Mytilus edulis: one gene and its partners. The protein of the gene in region 2 purifies or fractionates together with the protein of the main gene of each other region. This does not show direct contact. Links are inferred from orthologs where the notes say so. Each region holds a gene or a part of one and is shown on either strand. Other genes may lie near its edges.

What was found. Proteins that work in one complex are often made in the same cells at the same time.
Region 1: the proteins of proteasome subunit alpha type-4-like (region 2) and 26S proteasome non-ATPase regulatory subunit 5-like fractionate together in Homo sapiens (co-fractionation; 3 studies listed by BioGRID). This does not show direct contact. The link is inferred for Mytilus edulis from reciprocal best matches to the Homo sapiens genes PSMA4 and PSMD5.
Region 3: the proteins of proteasome subunit alpha type-4-like (region 2) and proteasome activator complex subunit 3-like fractionate together in Homo sapiens (co-fractionation; 3 studies listed by BioGRID, with this or other methods). This does not show direct contact. The link is inferred for Mytilus edulis from reciprocal best matches to the Homo sapiens genes PSMA4 and PSME3.

The regions. Positions count from the first base shown.
Region 1 is NC_092345.1:26,665,928-26,673,226, reverse strand, and holds the start of 26S proteasome non-ATPase regulatory subunit 5-like, read right to left. Parts: upstream 3,024-7,299; 5' UTR 3,001-3,023; coding exon 2,819-3,000; intron 1,631-2,818; coding exon 1,486-1,630; intron 768-1,485; coding exon 629-767; intron 1-628. Other genes in the region: protein unc-80 homolog, read left to right, coding at 3,220-3,302. UniProt on the Homo sapiens protein: Acts as a chaperone during the assembly of the 26S proteasome, specifically of the base subcomplex of the PA700/19S regulatory complex (RC).
Region 2 is NC_092347.1:92,229,746-92,237,434, forward strand, and holds the start of proteasome subunit alpha type-4-like, read left to right. Parts: upstream 1-4,667; 5' UTR 4,668-4,750; coding exon 4,751-4,753; intron 4,754-6,876; coding exon 6,877-6,919; intron 6,920-7,162; coding exon 7,163-7,325; intron 7,326-7,689. UniProt on the Homo sapiens protein: Component of the 20S core proteasome complex involved in the proteolytic degradation of most intracellular proteins. This complex plays numerous essential roles within the cell by associating with different regulatory particles.
Region 3 is NC_092345.1:106,000,595-106,007,826, reverse strand, and holds the start of proteasome activator complex subunit 3-like, read right to left. Parts: upstream 3,024-7,232; 5' UTR 2,930-3,023; coding exon 2,876-2,929; intron 1-2,875. Other genes in the region: natural resistance-associated macrophage protein 2-like, read left to right, coding at 4,347-4,526. UniProt on the Homo sapiens protein: Subunit of the 11S REG-gamma (also called PA28-gamma) proteasome regulator, a doughnut-shaped homoheptamer which associates with the proteasome. 11S REG-gamma activates the trypsin-like catalytic subunit of the proteasome but inhibits the chymotrypsin-like and postglutamyl-preferring (PGPH) subunits.

The DNA.
Region 1 (7,299 bases), on a different chromosome or scaffold from region 2:
TCAAAAGAAAATATAACAAGATTGAAGACGCCGTTTGAGTAGTTTTTAGGTGATCATCAACGGAAGCCACAATCCTCACTTTATACACACTCAAGCTCATTAGTGTAAATCACAAATTAATTGTTTTGTAAACATTTTAAATACTTTTTCATGAACATTAACAATGTATCACTAATTATTTATCAAAATTCTATAAAAGATAATCTTAGGTAAACACTCATGGAAATAGCATGTCATAAATCAATACAGTGGTCAGTGACCGGAAATTTAATTACACGTGTATTGTCAGATTAACTCTTCAATCCATTTAAATCCCGGAGGTCATGTTTTGACATATATGTGTATTAGTTCGAGATAAAAAATGAATTTTGAATGCTTTGTTAACCTTGGGACCGTACATTTAGTTCGACTCAACCGAAATTTCGACTCATCCAATTTCGACTCATCAGGAGTCGAATTACATACTTTTGTATGGAATAAAGTTCGGGACCACGTGAAAATTTCGACTCATCCGAAATTTCGAGTCAACCGAGTTCGAGACAACGAGAGTTAACTGTATAATAAATGAATGCACATTATAGCATCTATAGAGAGATATTGAAGTGATTTTAAGTTAAAGACAACATACTAATATTAAGTATCACATTCTGTGCATGTTTTGCCACCTGAAGGGATGGGCTAGCTATCAAATTGATCACTGTTTTGATGACATCTCTTGCTGAATCCCAATTCAAAAGTGTTTGGTCATCTTCTCCAGCAAGTTTTAGCTGAAAAAAAGATTTTAAAGGACATTGATTACAGTAAAATGAACATAATGATTCACAAGCATATGCCTGAATATTTAGCCTTAAGACTGGTGTATGGGTTTATATAAGTCGAAAGTACATGTATGTGCACAATAAAACATTACTGGAGGGGGGCTTCCCCAGAAATTATTTTTTCTGGTAAAAAATGGTATGGTATCATACTTGGTAACTTTATTATCATAAAAATTATCTTATTAACTCAATTTAAGAAGCTACTGATGTATTCTTATAATATTAAGTCACTCTAAAATCTTTTCACTGAGCTTCAATAAACCTTATAAATCGCTATTTATTCCAATCCAAAAAGTTCAAATATTGTCCACTCTTTCAAACCAGTTGAAGCTATCTGGAGCCCTGTATAAACAATGTACTGTGCATGCAAATTTTCAAAGAGTTGTGTTTAAACCCTTGCAAACACTTCGAACAAAGCATTTTTCTTACTTTCATTCATAAACTATACAAATTTCACAATGTTCACTTTCTAAACATTTCTGCCCTCATCTCGTTACTGATGAACTTTGTTCTTGGTTCACTCGACCCAAACAGGAAGTTGTCCAAGTTACTGTTTTTCCTGGATTGAACTAAATAGCAATAAGGTTTATCAAATTGCCCCTTCATCCAACATGAGTGGACATAGATCTATATAAATAATCCTTACTAAAACATAGAAGAATGTTACCTGTCTTAAACATAAACACTGTATCGTGGTAGAAGGGTGCTTTAATCCTATATCAAAATCATTTTTGAATAGGTCCAACCCAACAGCAGGTGACCATGCTAGCAAAACATTTTTTAAAATACTGCAACATTCTTCAATGATTTCACTGAAAGAAAAAAACAATAAAACAGTCACTAAACATAACAATAAAATAACATTTAAATGCAATATATGAAGCTATCTATTCTAATTTCAGATTATCTTTTAAAAAATTGTTTTTGGTTTTGAACAAGCTGTTAATTTAATCATGTTAATAGAAACATAACAATCTTAGATCTGCATGATCTGTGCTTTGTGTCTTTTTTGTTGTAAGAGATGTATTAATAACCTGCAAAATTCATTTATTTAGTTTGATGTTTTATCGATCTGATGAGTTAAGCCCTTTTCAACTGATTTTTATATTTTTTCTCATGTTTATATTGTTATGCACCACTGTCTAAGTTTATAAAAAGTGCCTGTCCAAAGTCAGGAGTCTTTGAATTGTTTCCTATATCAAGTGTATTGAATGTTGAGTAGATATAATAAGATGTGGTACAAAAAATGTATGAGTGACAATGAGACAACTCTCATGGCATCCAAGACACAATTTGTAAAATTAAAGTAAACCATAAATACATTGTAGGTAAAAGTTTGGTCTTCCAAATGAAGCCTTGGCTTCTACCTAACAGCAAACTCTAATAAATCTATTATTCTGATTATTATGCTGAAATAACAGGAAGCAGCAACAGAAATAATAGAGATTATAACACAATACATGTATATGAGGATGGTGAAGAGGAACCCTAAGGTTGCTGTATATAGGGCACCAAAAATGACTAGTGTAAAATCTTTCAAATAGGTAAAACAAGGTCTAATTTATATTAAAAAACAAGAAACATGTATAAATCACATCAAGAAACAACAACCACTGGACATGCTGAACATCAGGTTCCTAATTTAAAAAAAATGTAGAACAGGTGCAAACAAATGCAATGAGTTAAGGGCTATACGTTTTAAGATACCAACCTTAACCCTTACATGTACCTGAAACAAATGGTATAACATTTGAGACACATTATAAAATATCAATAGGAAATGGCTTAACCATGTTAACTCAATATTAACACAAGTGATTTTCATCTTGAATTTAGTCTAATGTAAATTATACATAGATAGTCAACCTTCCTAATGATGTAAGCAAATACTGTGGAGATCAGTCTTTATAAGCCTAAACTGTACAACGCTGGAGATACATGGAGATATTGTGAAGTATAGGATGACTTGCAAAATTGAAGTAAAAACATGAGTTACAAACCCGTCATCAGTGTTTAACAAGCCAAATAACTTCTGTACAGATGAAACTGAGACTACTGTGTGTAGATTTATTGTTCTGACAGATGATAAAGCTGCTTTCAACTCAACCAATGTTGATAAAACATCTGTTGACAGTGTTGTCGTTTCCAAAGACCGACAAATGTCGTCTACATTTGCCGCCATTTTTACGATGAACAGTCTAGAGAGTGTCGAATGTAGATATACATTTCTCGGAAATCTCGGACTCTTTTATTAAAAATATACTGATCAAAACAATCAGCTTCAGCAGCCGATTCAGATCAATAAACAGATAAGAGAGTTCCAGTCATACGCCATTTTTGATGCGAAACAGAAAATTAAAGATGGAAGGGTGTAAATATTTAATGAAGAAGCAATTATAAAATGCCTAAGCGTAAAAATCTGTCTGGTGACGATGATCAATCGATTCCATTGCCTATCCAGGCTTTTTTCTGGCGTCAAACAAGGTGGGCGTATTAAATGTTAATTTCATTAATCATGTTAATCCACATATTCTTCATTAATCATGTTATTGAAAGTTTCTTTTCCAAAAATTTAGTTTTCACAAAGCAATCAAGAAGTTTTTGGTGCCATTTGCATTGATTGAAATGTCAAGACTGAAGGGGGAGCACTCTATGTATAAATTAATATAAACACAACAAAGAGTTCAAATGCACCCATTTATGCAACACTTTAAATTTAAATCTTGTAACCATTAATTTTGCAGACGTTAATTATGTTTAAAAATTATATGATAATTTTATTTGTTTTTGTTCCTGTAAATACACAAAGTTTGTTATTTTTAACTTGGCGTGTACTGGTTGACACACGCGTTCAGTATATTTGCGTTATGGAATTTCCGACTGCAGATTAACCACATAGAAGTAGAAGTAGAAGATATAAATATTTACAAAAGTTACAGAAACCACCCAAATTTTTAATATGATTCTTATTGTTCAATGAACAAGGCAGTGTCTGCATGTTCCCGCATGCCGGTACGCATAGCTAATTCGGCCATCATATTAGGCTATGCGTAACCGCAACCGATTTTTTAATAAACGGTCATATGATCAGGAATAGAACATAAAAGATCATGAAGATACCCCAAAAAATCAGTTATTTACGGATTTTGTGAATTCAGTGTTCAAAGAATGGCAAATAATAAATAATAATTTGTGTTTAATGTATTATTTAAAAAAAAAATAGAAATTAAACGTAAATGCACATTAAAAGAAGAATAAAATTATACTGAATTTGAATAATTGTATGTTAACAATGGTTAATAAAAAACTTGTGTGAAAGTTATTTTCTAATAAAATTCAGAACAGAAACCTGGACATGCTGGAAACATAAATTTTAAAATATGATCTAAAACAACTTAAAATAAAGTTTGAGTGTATACATAATTGAAGATGATAAGATAAAATTTCATATGCCTAAAACTAGATGCATTTGATATTCACATATTTATGATTATTTATTTCAAGAACTTGAACTGTCCTAATTTTGTATTGTTTTTCACTTGTTTGTTATACTTTTTTAATTGGATTATCTTCTAAAAAATAATGGTGTATATCAAATTATATCAATAATTATAATTAATATTAAATAAGATATTAAAATAATAACCAAGGTCATTTCTAGGGGGGGGGGGGGCTAGACCATTTTCGGGTCGCCTGGATTGGCCAATTTTAGCAATGGGAAATCGGGATTGCCTTGTTTAAAGATCGGGAGTTCGGGATAGAAAAACATTGGGATACAGGAAAGCCACGTTTTTAGCCACAGGAATGTGGGATTATTATGTTGAAATATTACGGGATTGACAAACAACTGTACCTTGGACAAAGTGCCATGTTCATTATACTTCAATCAGAATCGCATCTAGAAACAGAGTAGATCCAGATCAGAGTATACGTACATGTAAACCCCAAGGGTGACTGAGGTCACTTGGTCTTCTCCAAAACGGCAGTAAAACGCTTGCTGAAGTTGGCTGTGCGGGATGTGTCAAGTTCGCAGTCACGTCGGTCAGAATGGGGACGTTAAATCGGATGCCTCATGTAAAGAGAGTGCCACACTCTGTGCATGTTAAGAATCCTTGCAACAACTCTTTGAGGCCTGTTGCAAGGCAAAATTTCTGTCCCTATCTAATCTACCCTCATTTTCCAGTGGCAGTCCAAATATCTCCGACCATCATTCCAAAGGGCCTCTTTAATGACAAGACCTACCTATTGTACTTATTGTGAACTTGTTCTCGTCTGGAATATGCATGAAGTATTTGCCACTGGACATTAAGCAACCAACAATCAATCAAAGTACATGTGATAGTACGTTTAGAGATACAGCTTTGAGCTCGGATCAGGTCTTTAATTATTCCGTTAATTAAACGATTCTCAAATTATATCAATTAGAACCCTTTTGTTGTTCCACAAAGACAAACATTCTTTGGCTTTCCTTAAGGAAAAAACAAACATTGTGCTAAAGGACAGCGAAAGCTTCACTGACTTAATCAAATTAAAAAAATATGTTAGGCCAATTAAAATTAATTGCTAGATTTTCATCCCCGCCCGCCCCTCTGAAATTGTCCCGCCCTGATTTTTTTTATTTAACAAAAAAAATATTTCCGGATTTTGTTCATGTCCGTTACCGGGAACCATCGATAATTTCGTTTCATTCAAAACTTCCTGTTTCAAATTTCGTATTTGTATTTCTTCGAGTAATCTAACAAAAATGATTAAGTCGACATATTCTGCTGCTCTATAATGACAACATCATCTACCGAGAATAGAGATTGATAACGAGAAGGGCGTGAAATATTCGAGTTACGAGTAAAACGCCTTGTCCTTGAACGCAAATTGCAGTAGTCACTAGTGAATCGAAAACCGTGTTTTTTCTTTATTTATACGATGACTTTGTGTCAGGAAATTTGGACTGTGAATGATATCCAAAGCGCAAGAATCGTAGAACACATTGGTACAAAAAACATGACTGTATTAAAGAAATTTGCACAAGCACGAACTTGTTTGATTTATGACCGTATATTGAGAAAAAAAAGTCGACAAACACGCATTTTAATTATAACAAGCCCTTATATTTACCCATGGCTGTTGTTTTTGTTGACAAACAGCAAACACCCTTTGTAACTATCCCAATACCCTCAATTTAGTCATTAAACTGCTTTTCGGTTAAGTTCATGTTTTACATTGTACTTTCAATACTGAGTTTACATTTTATTCTGTACTCATAATACTTGTGTTGCATACAATTGTACCAATACATTTTATTGATTTTATGGGGACTAAAAACCATTGCTTAGAAAGCAAAATAAATTTGGTGTAGGTATAGTCAAACTGAAGGGGGCATTTTTCTTCTTTTTGATGTATACTATAAATAGGTTTCTAAAGCGGCAATTACATGTTTAACAGTGGTTGCCAATCAGGGATTTTTATTTAAGAGTTTAAAAAATAGTGTAGGATTCCTTTTACGGCATGTATATACATTATACAAGCTTGTTTTCCACTAGCATATACCCTGCGGTATGAAGAACTCGTGACGAGGGTTTCATATGAAATAAAATTTTAAAAATAAAATCCTCCCACCCGCCCCATTTTTTTCAAAAATTTGGATGAAAATCTACTAATTGATTTTAGTTGGCCTTATCAATTATTGGGGAATTAATGAATCGGCCTGTGAAAAAAGGATGGGGAGAAATATTAATACAAAGATGACCAAGGAAAAGTATATTTATACACAGCATCAATGGGATCCCGAGAAAACATTCCTTCAAACTGAAAGATCAAATTTGATAGGTACATGTAGAAAATTATCTCTTTCTGTGAAAGTACTAATAAGTATTCATTCAATCAACTTGAAAATATCGTTCGATTTTTTATTAAAGTTGTATATACAAAACCTTACCCCCTTTTTTCCCCCTAAACGTGTGCATCCAGTTTCTTATCAAGCCAAATTCTTGTTTTGACTTGAACTGGAATTTGGCCAATTTTCTGACTGGCTACTGAAGATTTTGGTGAACAAAAATGCTTATATACAGCTTGACTTCACGGTAACAGTGATAATACATATTCGGATTGGTTAAGCTGAAAGACTTTGAACATTAATCATAAGCATTGAAACTTTAAACTTTTAAATTTATCGGGATCATGATTTTTAACAAAATATGTCTGGGATTGCGAAAACTTCCGGGTTCATTTCACATTTTATTCCCAATCCAATGACATGAAATTATTAAACCTGATGCAGAAACGCATACCCTACAAAGAAAAATTTGGCTATTGGTACCCGCATGCAGGTACAATGTATGCTCAGACACTGCCTATTTATATAAACAAATTATATAAACAAATCCATAATATATGGGATTGCCAATAGGCCCCTTCACGGTTAAACTGGACCCCTTTTATGTTCCCTTATTGCCAAACTAACAACAGGTAAGGCCTAAATCCTGCA
Region 2 (7,689 bases):
GTCTTCTATGTTGTTCTACTGGTCTATATATAGTTGTTTCATCTGGATGATATGGTGTCCATGATGTATCTCTTCGTGACCATTGAATGTTAGTAGATGGTTGGTCACAATTTCTATCTTCCTTCAAAGCCTTGACATCTTGTGAGAGTTGTTTCACCAATGCTGTAAGTTGCTGAATTTGCCTATTTTCTACTGTTGTTGTCGTTGATTTACTCGTAGCCTGTGTAGGTGGTTTCTTTTTCAAAGATGGTTTGAGGTTATGTTGATTCTCTATTTCTCTTGTAGCTTTCAGTAATGAGTGAAAATCGGTGATGGTATCTTTCTTGTAGCGGACAATATTCTTCATCTCCGGTCTTAATCCATCAAAGAACTTTGACGTAAGCATATCGTTGATGTTTTCCTCTGTGACATTCTTTCTGTTCTTGGCTTTGCTTAGTATTTCCTCTAATCGACAAGCCCATGTTGCAACGTCTTCATCATCTTGCTGTCTAGCCGTGTAGAATTGGCCAAGTAAAGCTTCAGGCTGATCAACAGATCCGTATATACTGTCCATCTTATCAATGATGTCGTCAATGGTTGCTTCAGGACCAAGTCTCATGGGAACCTTGCTAGCATCTCCACGTAGAGAACGTCTAATAGCCATCGTGATGGTTTCATGTGTATGTCCTGTCTTGATGAGACACTGTACCTCATATCTCCATAGGTCGTATGGTGTACCAGTCTTCACATCTCCGGAAAACGCTGATATCCGCGGTAAATAGGCATTACATAAATCATCATCAGTTTCTTTGTAATCTTCCATCCAGGTCTTAAAATCATCTGGTGTCTGAGCGCATGGTTTGAGATCCATCTCCTTGAAGGCCATAACTATGTTGCTGATCTCATCCTTAGATAGATAATCCGACATGGCTGTACAAAATAATAATACCTAAACTGTAAAAATAAAATGCTGAGATGAAATCTGAAATAAACAAAAGCTTCTGAAACAAAGAAATGTTAAGTTCCTAAAAGAAAAAAATATGTCTGAAATGAATACCAATATATACCAAAAGTTAATGCTAAAACAAAAAAAAAATGTTAAGTACCTACAATAGAAACAAAGTATCTGAAATAAAAAAATATATGAATAATATTAATTTATCCTAAAATACAAAGAAATTATCTGGAATAAATTAAATAAACAAAAAGTTTTTAAGTACCTATAACAAAAATAAAGATTCTGAAATCAAATAGAGAAAAAAATAAGATTAAGTACCTGAAAACTAAAAGAAAACAATAAGATTAGTATCTGCAGTCTAATGTCTAATCTACAATAAAGATAGAATTAATGCAAATCCAAATATGATACAATATAATCTGGAAATCTCAAAGAAATATCCTGTAAAAAAAAAAAAGATTAGTAACTCTATGGTCTGAAATCAAAATTATGATTAAGTATCAACAAACTCGACAACAGTGCCTAAATAAATATAGAGTGATATAATACTGGACTGAAATGACCAACTCCTCTGAAATAAACAGACTAGATGGTAAATGCAACTCTGCAATGGTAAATCAATATACTGAAATCAAAATTCTGATTACTATATGTATACACAAAAATGGATCTGAGAAAACACTATATATAAGTATAATGTACACAGTGGCTAACAATACCTCACAACTGAAAAGCAATGAGTATGTATAATAAAAACAAATATGAATAGTATCAATATACACGTACGTACCTTTTTTAAAGTTCCTACCCAGCTATGTCTCTGCAAATCACACACACCTAATACTCACCAAAATGTGTGCAATTTATTCCTTACTGAGTATGACTAGCTGCTACATATAATCAAAATATATGTAACTATATAGGGGAATATATATAATACAATGTAATGTAAAGTAGAAACTGGTACTGCTGCTGCTGTAAATAATATCAATATATCATCAATGAAATCGCTGAAAGTCCTGAAACTTAAAATGTATTAAAGAATCAGTCAGTCAACAACAAGAACCGAAGCAACAGATCTACCTATACAACACAATGTAGACACCTATCAAGTACCTCAATAACCAGAACCTTATCAATCAAACAACACGTATACTTACTTAACTATGTATACTTCTAGTTCTTCAATGAGCTTTATACCTACTTCTTCAAATGTACAAATTACTCCAGTCGGTTTCTTTCTGTACTTATATTCCTCACTTACCCTCAAATTTTTTGTAGGTGAATATCTACGACAGCAAAGTTCTGTGGAACTTTACGAGTAAAAGAGTATTTGTCGTGTCTCTAGTCTTTGCAATAATCCTAACTGACAGATGTGGGGATTGGGCAGTTATGAATCTATTTAATATGTACAGAATAATATGCAAATATCAACACAATATATATGTATTTACAAAGTCAAATATAATATATCAATTACAAACAGTAGCAACTGTTTATTCTTCTACCTATGTGTCACACTTTAAATTCTAATGTAAATTAACTAACTGTAAAAGAGTTCGAAAGCTAATTATATAATCAAATTCTGAATGAAAGTTTAAAGTAATTTCAACAAAAATTTACAACAAAAATTTAAATCCAAATACAGCTAATATGTCTGAAATAATTTCAAATAATTTCCGAAAAAAAATCAAAGAAATTTATTTAAAAAAAAAATTAAGTGACACAACAAAATGTGTATTACAAGTCAAGTACAAATAAACAAATACATTCAATGTCAATCAACTAATGAGTATATATCAAAAGTTTTACTAAATGATGTTTATTTATAAAGTCAAAACACACACAGTGTATAAATACAACTCAGTTTAATAGTAACATCTATAGTCAATCGGTAATCTCTGAAGTGTATCGACATCTACGGGTATCGTGTATTGCCAAAATACGATCAATTCTTCATAATCTACATTATCCACCAAAAACGTCTGATCTACCAGAAAAACTACGTTGGGCGCCATTGTGATAGTCGTGTTTTACGGGGGTTCCATAAACGACAAGTCTAGGGTTCTTTGACATCACTTTATTAAGTTAACATAGGAATAAATAAATAACCCTGCAATAACAACAGCATATAGTTATTACAATTATCAATATCACAGTCTTATCAAAGTCTTATACTATAAACATATAAATATTATACTGGCGTAATAACAATGTTACAAGATCGCATATAATATTCTATTCCGTATACAATAATCTATACTGAGTATCAAGAATGCGGTGACATTCACAATATGCAATACACTCGCAATTATATCTTTCTAAATACAAATGCATGCTTTTGATAAGTCGTATCAAATAGTATATCATTATAATCAACCAAGCGTATTATAAACAAGTCGAATGTACTGTACTTCATAAACGAGTGTCATTCATAAAACCTTTAACATACAAAGGTTATTATCTGTTCACTATAGTATTCTTTTAATTTCGTATGCACTACTGTAATGTATAATATCTATGTAGGTACAATATAATATAATATGACCCTTACCAATCTGTGGAACCAGGTTATATATCTAACATCTACAGTACAACCAGTATGTTACAGGGACATCATAATCTATGTGTCCTGAAAATAATACACAATAGTAAATACTAGGATCTAGGAAAATAGTGATCCCTTACATAAAATACAGCATATTAAAGACTGATATAATAAAATCAAGCTATTACACAGAATAACCATATATGACAATATGAATGCAATTGTCAATGTGACGTCATAGATCCATAACCGAAAGGTCAAGGTCACTTTCAAAATCATTCATAAATCTCCCTTTCTACATTCAAACTACAGATTCAAATCATATATTCTCAGATTAATACATCAACTATCTTACTCCTATCATATCTAAGGTCTATGGGCATACTTACCTATAAACGGGCAGAATTGTATAGCATGCACTGCATACGCCTTTCATACACCACAAAGAATATAAAATCTACTTACCAGATATAAAGAATGTAATTTCCAATAACTACAGTTGTTCCAAAGTATGGAAACTTCAGTGAATAATAACGAGCACTGAATATAATGTTTCTATATAAGTTTTATCACTATATACGGTTTAAACAATAAGTATATATTAAATTTGTATGTCTCCAATTTTCAAGAGTTAACCACCATTACTTTATTTCCAAAATCTGAGGTGTGTCCAGAATGACCAATAAGAACTGACCATAAAGGTAAACAAGGTGTGACAATTAATTTACTAATGAGTTGGACAGGTAGATACTATTACAACTATGCCCAATGAAGTATGACTGACTAGAACTTTCATACATTTTAAAGTGTGAAGAGATAATGAACTATAAATCAAAAGATCAAATAATCAAAGTGAAGTAATTAAGTCTAATATCTGGCATATCATAAAATGTAAAATACTAATAAATGAAATGCGTAAAAATATACTCTGTCACAATTATTCAAAATTTAGGTTTATCATATTAGTCAAAAAATATATGTAGGACATTCGTTCTGAATATACATGAAATATTTGCCACTGGACTTTAATTAAGCAAACCAACTGTAGGACATAGTCTTGATTAGCTGACATTTAAGGTAGCGCCTTCCTCATACTATTATCATTTATACATTTCTCGTTTTTGCTATTTATTTTGCCACTGACAACGGGTAAAAAAGACAGCATGATTTTAAAAAAAATTATCAGTGTTGCGACATTACAATAGAAATCTACACTTTACACTAGTTTAAATACGAAACTAAACTTACAGCTCTGTATTTCAAAGATGGTAGGTCTGCTTTATCATCGTAAAAGAAGTAAAATACACTTTCCTAGCAGAAATTTAGTGATTTTTGTTCTAAATTTCTAATGCATATGATCATGAGATTCACTAAAATACAATTTCTATAGGAGTTTTGAATATGAGGTCCAAATTAACACGGGAAATGAAAAAAAGGGGGGACTATGCCGGTTGGACATAACTTACTTTGTTAATTTTTACTCCGGAGTCCTTCTTCAGCTTTTTTGCTATGATGAACCTTTAAAGTTAATGACTGACTGGTAGTTTAGATAGTTCATGAATACACATTCAAGTATAAAAAAAATAACAGTAGTAGAAGTAGAAAAAGGTAAAATAACAAAAATAACCAAAATTAGAAAAATATCAAACTCTTAAGAAAATTTAAAATGTGAAATTCAATGTGAAAGTTCGGAATCAATATTAAAAGATTAAACAAATTGTCTCAGGAAAAATCTTGGTTTTTATTTGCCACAAAATCTCCTTTTACTATTAACATGATTAAATGCAAGGAAACAATAAATAGACATTAATACAGCCGAGCATTTTCCCCGTTTCGGGCCGAATCCTTATATCGTTGATATGTCAAGTCAATGCACTATTATTGTTTTTATACTGCAATCTAAAAAAACATTTTCAATTGTTGTTTATTGTGTTAATGTTATTTATTTGATTTAAATATTGGGAAAAATCCCCCTTTAAAAAGTAAAATCACAAAAATACTGAACTTAGAGGAAGATCAATTGGGAAAGTCCATAATCACATGGCAAAATCAAATAACAAAACGCATCAAATACGAATGGACAAGAAAAGGCCTCATATCACACAGACGGAGAAATATAAAACACGATGAAATGTACATAATTACCGCAATCAATGATGAACGAATTCGTTGCAGACTAAAATATCAACAATAAACATAAAACATAATGATTTATAGGTAAGGTTGCAAACAAAAAAATATTAATAAGTGAAATATGTTTTCCCAAAAATTGCAAAAGAAACAAGTTTGAGTCGTTAAACGCATCGTTGTTTACATTGAAAACAAGAACAGGTTGAAGAGTTCGTATGAATAATTAAATATAATTTCGACAATTTCTATTTTTAAAATATTCATGAGGAAAAGTGATATCAGGTCAGTGACTGTATATGGCATAGAAATATACAGTCAACGCATTTTGACTGCTCAAATAGAACGAGTGCAGTATAAATATAAATAATGCCTTTGCATTTGGAATATGTACAAAAAATATTTTTTTGACTGTTTTGACACTATTGCAGTTTTAAAATTTCATAATTCACATGGCTACAGAAGGGGTCACAAACCTTAATCACTATAAAACAAACAAATGTGTGAACAAACTTATAATCAAAGCACATAAGCAAAAACGAAAAACAAAATACAGAAAAAGATATACTAAACAGTCAAAGTAATAACTTACAAAAAAATTATAAGAACAGTACCTATAATCTAGACCAACATGACCAAGGTATATTTTTGTCATAATTAATTAATATATAATGAATTCTGAAAGTGTGACTGTTATAAAGAAAAAATAATTCTGATTAAAAACATGTTTTGATTTATTCCTGGAATTGCTTCTTATTGTGATCCTGTTTTATCTGTTATAAAATAAGATTTGTTCCTGTTTTGCAGGATTAAAACTTTTCAGACCATTTTTGGAATGGTTTTTAACAATGATTGTTTTATATTTCTTCAAAATATACATGTACATTACAAAAGATACAAATCAGTACAGTACACTTAAAACTATCTAAAAGATAACAAAACATATAAAACAAACCAATGATTATAATAAGGCAAGACATAGAACATACATGTAGTACCAAAGAATGCTAATTATAACAGTTTTTAAATTAAAAGAAAGGCTTCAAGCTCAAAGCCTTTTATCAACTTGATATGAAACCATACCATTCTACATTAATTTAATTGGCTGTGCTTCAAACTACATGTAGATTTCATACTGCATCGACAAGAAGACCTGATTATGTACTATGCCCAAAACAAACCTGTGCAAAACTTCAATTTATGAAAATAGAAGCAATAATTTAGTCTAGTTTCAAATGTAATTGGTTTCTTTCTTTCTTTTCAGTCTAGGAGATATGATTCCAGAACAACTATTTTTTCCCCAGAAGGTAAGAATAGAAAGTGAAACATACTACATATATATATTTAATAAAACACATTTTAAACTGTTTGCACTATCATAATTGTGTACATGTATTATTATTCGTTTGTACTTTCATAATTATGTACATGAATGTTAAATTGTTTGCACACATATGCAAGATGAATGTACAAATTTGGCTTTGTACCAAGTTTATATTTGTTTTGTATAATAAAAGAATGGATTTGATGTGAGTATTTATGTAATACAGGGAGGTTGTACCAAGTGGAGTATGCCATGGAAGCAATAGGACATGCAGGAACTTGTTTAGGGATATTAGCCAGTGATGGAGTGGTTTTAGCCGCAGAGAGAAGAAACACAAACAAATTGTTGGATGAAGTCTCATATTCAGAAAAAATCTATAATCTCAATGAGTAAGTTTTAACCTGCACATCAAGAATTATATTGTGACTTAAAGATACCAGATTATGAAATATAGAAACAATGAAGACATAGATTTCATAGTATAAACGTTTCCATACACTAACCGACACATGGTCTCTCCTGTGTATCCTGTTTTAAAAGAATAAAAGATTTTGTACAAGACTTTAGCTTTTTAGATAGATATGAGTTTGAAAAATGAAAATGAAATAATAATGTATTTATATACCTTTAAATATGTGCATTTAAGAAATAACTGCATATTTCTTGGTTGGTCTTTATGGTTGAAGTCATTTTGACATAATATTTATTAGTTCAGTTGTGATTGAACTTAAAATCTTTCAGTGTTATGTAATT
Region 3 (7,232 bases), on a different chromosome or scaffold from region 2:
ATTAACTATTTTTTTTATATTATATTAAGTAAAGATAAAGTACTAGTAGCAAAAGTAGCAAAAAAATATCAATTTAAATACTTTTTTTTTTATCATGTTTATGAAATTCATTGTTTCATGGCACTGAATGAATTAGTCCCTGTTATTTCTTATCTTTACATCAAAATGATACGTATTTTTAACAAAGTTATCTAACAAATAGTCTATTAATGCGTAGTTTTCTCTATTGGTATATTTTTTCTGTCTACCGTCCGTCTGTTGTCATTATCGTGAAAATGCGGATTTTTGACATATCTGGTCCGGTTCCGATCCGTAATTTACACAAAAATGTGCAATGGCGGCCGTAGAAAAATTTACGAAAATGAGTCCGAGAATAAACATTGTTTGACAAGAGATTGTGAATGAATAAGACGCTTTTAATGCATTAAATGAATTAAACATAAACTTAAGCCAATTATGACCACTTTTTAAAGAAGTATAAAACTTATTTTAGCTCAAAACCAAAATTCTCGCTCTCGTATTACCGGAAGAGAAAGAAAGTATTTTTTGGAGAGTTGCACAAATAAACGACCTTTTAAAAAATAAAAAATCGTTTTAATCTTTGAAATTTCGTAATACAAAACATAGATTTCGAATTGTTTTTGTGACTGCATTTTTCCATGTCGAAATTGGTGATTGACACGTGGTATTAATTTAGTCATGTCACAAGTGTCAGCTTGGGATATTCGCATCCAAACAGTTATCACCCTGAGGGCAATTAACACCTGGCTATTCAATCTCTTAATTGCCTTTAGTGTCCGACTTAAAGGGATTACAATTAAAGGTGATATAATTTTTATGATCATAATCGATAATAGATGAAAGTTCAAAATTGAGGACAAGTAAAATAGCATCTTTAAAATAATTATAGCGTCGCGGGAATTATTATACCATCACGGTGAAAAAATATAGCGTCGCGGTACCGCGACGCTAAAACGGCCTGGGGAGAACACTGGACTAATTAATAAAGGTGTTGATTGAATTATATGATAAAATGGTATGGTGAAATGGCGCCTGTCACATGTTACATAAAGGATTATTTGCCACTTTGCGATGCACGTGTTTGAAGCAAAATTTTGATGATACTACCCTTCTTTTAATGATAGTCCAGAAAAGAAAAAAAAATGTTATGACGAAAAATGTACAAAAGCAATAAAGGTCTCTGATTTAAACTTAATCATTTAACTTTGATATCGATAATTGATTTGAGTGGGTACTTTAAAGTCGTATCAGTGACACATGTTTCAAGCATAGTTTTACATTTTTATGATGGTCTAGAAAAGAAAACAGTCGTTATGAAGAAATCTATTCAAAAGTTTGAGAACAACCCCTCGAATGAGAGTAACCCTTCAATTTAATGACTACACCTTACATGAAGAATCAATTTCAAGTGACAAAATTGTAAAAAACACTTCTTGGTACAAAAGAGAAAATGTTTTCAATTTTGAAGAAACTTTCCCAAAAAACTGTACATCTTTCAGGTATCCAAGAACTTTTTATATTGCAGGTCATATATCTTCTTTATTTTTTAAAGTAAGTGGGCCCCCTTCTTTTAAAGTTGTTCAAAATATAATCATTTTCCTTATAAAGTTCTTTTTTTTAAAAGGTAAATGTTTAGTATTTATTCATTACAATGTAGACTCTAAAACAAGTTTGAGAGAATAATCATAGACAGCAATGGGTCAAACTCTTATTTAGGGGGGCTGGAAAAAAAATATATTTGTCTTACTTGGCGAAAAAAGATAATAAAGTGGCAAAAAATATATTGTTTTGGCAAAAGAGGTGGCGAAAAAAATAATTGACCCAGGGGAAACCCTACATAAATTCACACAAGCTAGAGTTGATATTGACCTGCTTTCATGTCATGTACGCAATTTGGTTATCCAGAAAAGGGACAGACAGGTCCAGTCTAAGTTACAATGTTGGCTGGTAGTTTTGTGTGTCCTATAAGGCTACATATAAAAAGGTATGTTTACAGTCGGTATTTGGTCCAACAGTCATGCAAAATATGTCTAAATGTAAAGATTTTAGTCAAAACCATAAAATAATAATGAATTTTATGACTCTTGCCATATTAAAAGAACAAAATGTTATTTACAATATTTAACCTTTTTTTATGAATTATCTAATAACTTCTTCTGTAGGCAACTAAAATTTATAATTTCTGAGTGATTTTAAATTTCATGATTGTCATTCTTAAAAGAGGGGCGAAAGATACATTTGTACCAGAGAGTCAAACTCGTAGATAGAAAATAAACTGACAACGCCATGGCTAAAAAAACAGACAAATAATAGTACACAAAACACAACATAGAAAACTAAAGACTAAGCAACACGAACTTAACAAAAACTGGGGGTGATCTCAGGTGCTTTGGAAGGGTAAGCAGATCCTATATAAACTCATACCAAGTTAGGGGCAAGTACCTCTTTAGACTTTGCTATAATATACATTTTCAAGTTTTTTGCTATAAACCTATGGTGTACTTATTCAACAACATGGTCTGATAATTCTAAAATTGGCCCATTGATTTTTTTTTTTTGGGGGGGGGCTAGCCAGGGCATATGCATAGACATAGAGAAGAATCCTTCCAGATCACTGAATTTGATGTTCTGAAAAATAAAAACATAGTCAAATTGAGTGGGATCTTGGGAATTTTCAGTGTTGTAGCAGTGGTAAGGGTCACTTAGTAGCAAAACTCATCTTTCTCTAAAAATGATGAAAATTTATAAGCTTCAGCTGTTCAGTTTGTAGACAGAAATTTTAATAATTTGATCAAACTGTCGACTAATTTGACAAAATGTTATAAAATATTGAAAGTTCACAAATTAATACAACCTTTTTGTCCAATTCTTCCCTTTGTTTTGCAGATTTTTTACCATCAGTTGGCATTTTGTTCTGAGAAATATGTTTTCTGAGCGCCCAATGCGGTCTCAGATGAGTTAAGGACTTTTTCGGCCTTCTCTTGAAAGAGTTAATTAAGGGGAGGTAATTATTATATCACCCGATCAGGTGCCCGTCTGCATGTACAAAGGTAGATCCTGCATTCAACTGGCGCTGCTACCTAGTAAAAATCTCGACAACATGTAATATAGTGATTTAAATTCAGCTATTCAGGTATTGTTATGTTTTAATGGTATCAAAAGACAAATTACAAATTATCATGTATTTTTATTTTTATTTTGAGTGTCGTATCATGACTGTCAGTCATAACAAGGATTTGTATAGTAAAAATTTTTGGTCATAAGGACATTAGTACTTAACACTTCACGCTAGTTCATCAGGTTTAAACGGAGTGTATTTGTCATTGATGTATTAATAGTTTTAGATAGGCCCCTACATGTGAATTTTTAATTTCATTATTTTGACTTTCATATGATTTTGTTTTATGCAATGTTCACCTATTACCGGACATCACTACACACTACATTCTGACAGGTTGACATTAATAATAATAATCAGTTTTGTATACAGAAAATAATTTCTGAATTAATTGAAATTGTAATTAATTATCGACTTTATTTCTAAAGTAATTATTTACATTGCAAAAATAATTCGTATTCAAAACTGTAATTAATTGAGTTGCAAAAGTAATTGTAATTAATTAAAATTGTAATTGTAACTAATTGACTTTCAAAAGCCATTGTAATTGTAAATGATTAAGTTGCAAAAGTATTCGTTTAATTTCATAATTAAATACATTTCTAAAGTACTTGTATTTTATCACAGTTCGAAATTAATTGTAGTAAATTACATTTCTAAGTTTTAATTAATTACTCTTTAAAAAGGTAATTAAATTTTATTTTTATTGAAGCCTTTTTTTGCAATTGTTATCCATTTTTAATTTAATACTTTTTATTGTTATAATGACCACATGTATGAAAGATAAACTTGTTTATGTGTTAGCTTTTCAGCTCCAGTGAGAACACATTGCTTGGATGTTTATGAAAACCTCTAAAATAAGAGGTTGCAGGCATACTTTAAATGCACTGTTTGTCAAATATAAAGTTTGAGGAACAATACTGGGTGCAGAAGGCAGAGCAGAATGGGGCATCATCCATATATCTAGTTTTAAAGTTATCTTGGATGCAGATGTAATAGTCAAGGGTTTAAAATTAGCAGGGCCCACTCGCCAATGGCCCCTAAAATTCAGTGTGGGCTACTTCAATTTCAACTTTTTTTTGTATAGAACTATATATATTGGCTACAAAACTTAAGCTGTTTGCTACTATGCCTAAATTTTAACTTTAATCACTGAACACAGTAGGGAATGACATTTTTTTCTTCTAATTTAGATCTGATGTAATAGATGATGGCAGATTCATCAGAAGTGATTGAGAAGACTGATCCTGGGAATGGAGATGTAATGGAGAAGAATGATTCTGCTAATGGAGATGTTCAACAGGAAGGAGAAGAGGAGAAACAACACTTTAGTTCTGTGGCATCAACATACTTTGACCAGAAAATCCAAATACCTGATGTTCCTCAGGTAAGAGAAAATTCTAATAACTGATGTTCCCCAGGTAAGTGTACAGTAAATCCCAATACCTGATGTTCCTCAGGTAAGAGAAAATTCTAATAACTGATGTTCCCCAGGTAAGTGTACAGCAAATCCAAATACCTGATGTTCTCCTCAGGTAAGAGAAAAATCCAATACCTTATGTTCCTCAGGTAAGAGTGCAGAAAATTCCAATACCTGATGTTCCTCAGGTAATAGAAAATCCCAATACCTGATGTTCCTCAGGTAAGAGAAAATTATAATGCCTGATGTTCCTCAGTTCCTCAGGTAAGAGAACATTCCAATACCTGATGTTCCTCAGGTAAGAGAAAATCCCAATACCAGATGTTCCTTGGGTGAGAGATAATCCAAATACCTGATGTTCCTCAGGTAAAGGGGAAATCCCAATACCTGATGTTCCTCAGGTAACAGATATTCCAAATACCTGATGTTCTTCAGGTAAAGGGAAAATCCCAATACCTGATGTTCTTCAGGCAAGTGTGCAGAAAACACTTATCTGAATAAATGTTCCACCACAAAATTTGTCCAGACTTATTGAATATTTTCCAATAGAAGTTCTATGTATAAAGTAAACTGATTTGAAGAGTTTTACCATTGATTTCAAAAGTCTATATGCTCAAATTTTTAAGATTGATTTCTTTATTTTGTTTTCAAACTACAGCAATTGTGTTATTTGTTCTTTGAAAACATTTGATTGATTTTAATTTCTTTGTGTCTGATGCATATTCAGGATTCTATTCTTTATTTACCTTAAACAATACAGTTTATCGGTATAATATGCATAAATATACAGTTTACAAGTTGTATAGCATTAACATACACATAAATAACAAACGTCAGAAATATCAGTTACATATTATACAGTTTGTGAGTTTCAGACTACATATAATAAACATAGGTCTTAAATATTATTCCTGCACTTAAATGCATAGAGTAAGTACTTTCCTAAATTACAGAGTTCCTTAGTGTTTTCAACAGAAAACAATTGTATTAATTTATAAGTTGATGGTCTAGTCCAATAATATTTCTTGATAAACTTTTTACGTATATCATTATAATTTGTACATTGTAAAATAAAATGAAATTCATCCTCTACTACATTTTTATCACACATAATACACATTCTACTATTTCTACTTATTCCATAAAAACGACCAGTTTCAATGCATAGATTATGTGAGGATAGGCGAATTCTCGTTATCCATTTACGAGCTATTACAGGAATACATTTTTGTAAATAAAATTATAATTCTACATTTGACACAATATACTTATATAATCTACACTTTGGTGATGTTTCAAGCGTGAAATGCAACTCTTGTTTAGCTTGATCATATATTCGTTGTTTGTTAATTGTAAAAATGAACTATCCAAGCAAAGTACCCATTGGTTGTCCCAATAATAATTCATACCAAGATCATATAAAATTGTTTAAATACAAGTTGCCCAGTTTTTACATTTATTGCTATTTGCTACTAGTTCTTTGTAACAAGACTTTATAATACAATTTTCACTACCGTGAATTTTAGTCCATAATTTGAGCATCCTAAAATTTCGCTCATATAACAATGGAAATCTTCCTAATTCATAATATACCATTACATTAGAAGTGGACCTCTTGACACCTAGTAATGTTTTACAATAGTCCAAATGAACTTTTTCTACATTTGGTGCTCTATGAACACCCCAAACTTCACAACCATACATTAAAATACTACATACATATATAAGTGTCAAATGAACTTATAGAAGTAACAGTGTTCAGGTATAAGGATAATGCCTTTTTCCTCATACTAAACTCAGCTTTCCTGCCTTGTTCAGCACAGTGGTTTTGAGTAATATAAAATTTACAATTATAATGAAATAACACACCCAGATAACAAAAATGATCTACAATATCTAATGGTTTACCATTATAAATCCATATCTCAGTAAGACTAATTTTCCCACCTTTACGAAAAACTACTATCTTTGTTTTTTTGGTGTTAACTGAAAGACCCCATTTCTCAGTATAACCAGATAAAGTATTTAACATATTTTGTAAGCCTTGGATTGATTCTGACATCAAAATCATATCATCAGCATACATTAATAAAAAAAGTGTTATGTCCTGAAATTCAAGTATAATGATAACATATTTTAAAAAATATATGTAATAAAATAATTGAAATCAATGTTAATTAAGTAGGATATAAGACATGTACACACTTATATCAAATTAAGGATGTTTTTTATCCTGCTTTTACTTTATTTATCTTGTTGGATCATCCTCATCTAGGTCCTAATGACATTTTTTACTATTTATTGATAATAGATATGGTCAGCACAAATTAAAAAGACATGATAAGATCCATTAGAGTTACATTTCTGGATAACTTATATCGTTAATTGGGTACATTGTATATAAGTTTAAACTTACAGAACTATTGATATATATATATATATTAAATGTTATTTTGAATGTGGCAGTAATCTATCAAACCTTTGACACCAGAAAAAAAAGACATCATCTAATATTTTATAAATATAAAATTGAGAATGGACTTGGGGAATGTGTCAAAGAGACAACAACCTGACCATAGAACAGACAACAGCAGAAGTTCACCAATAGGTGTTCAATGCAGGGAGAAATTCCCGCACCCAGAGGCGTCCTTCAGCTGGCCCCTAAATAAATAT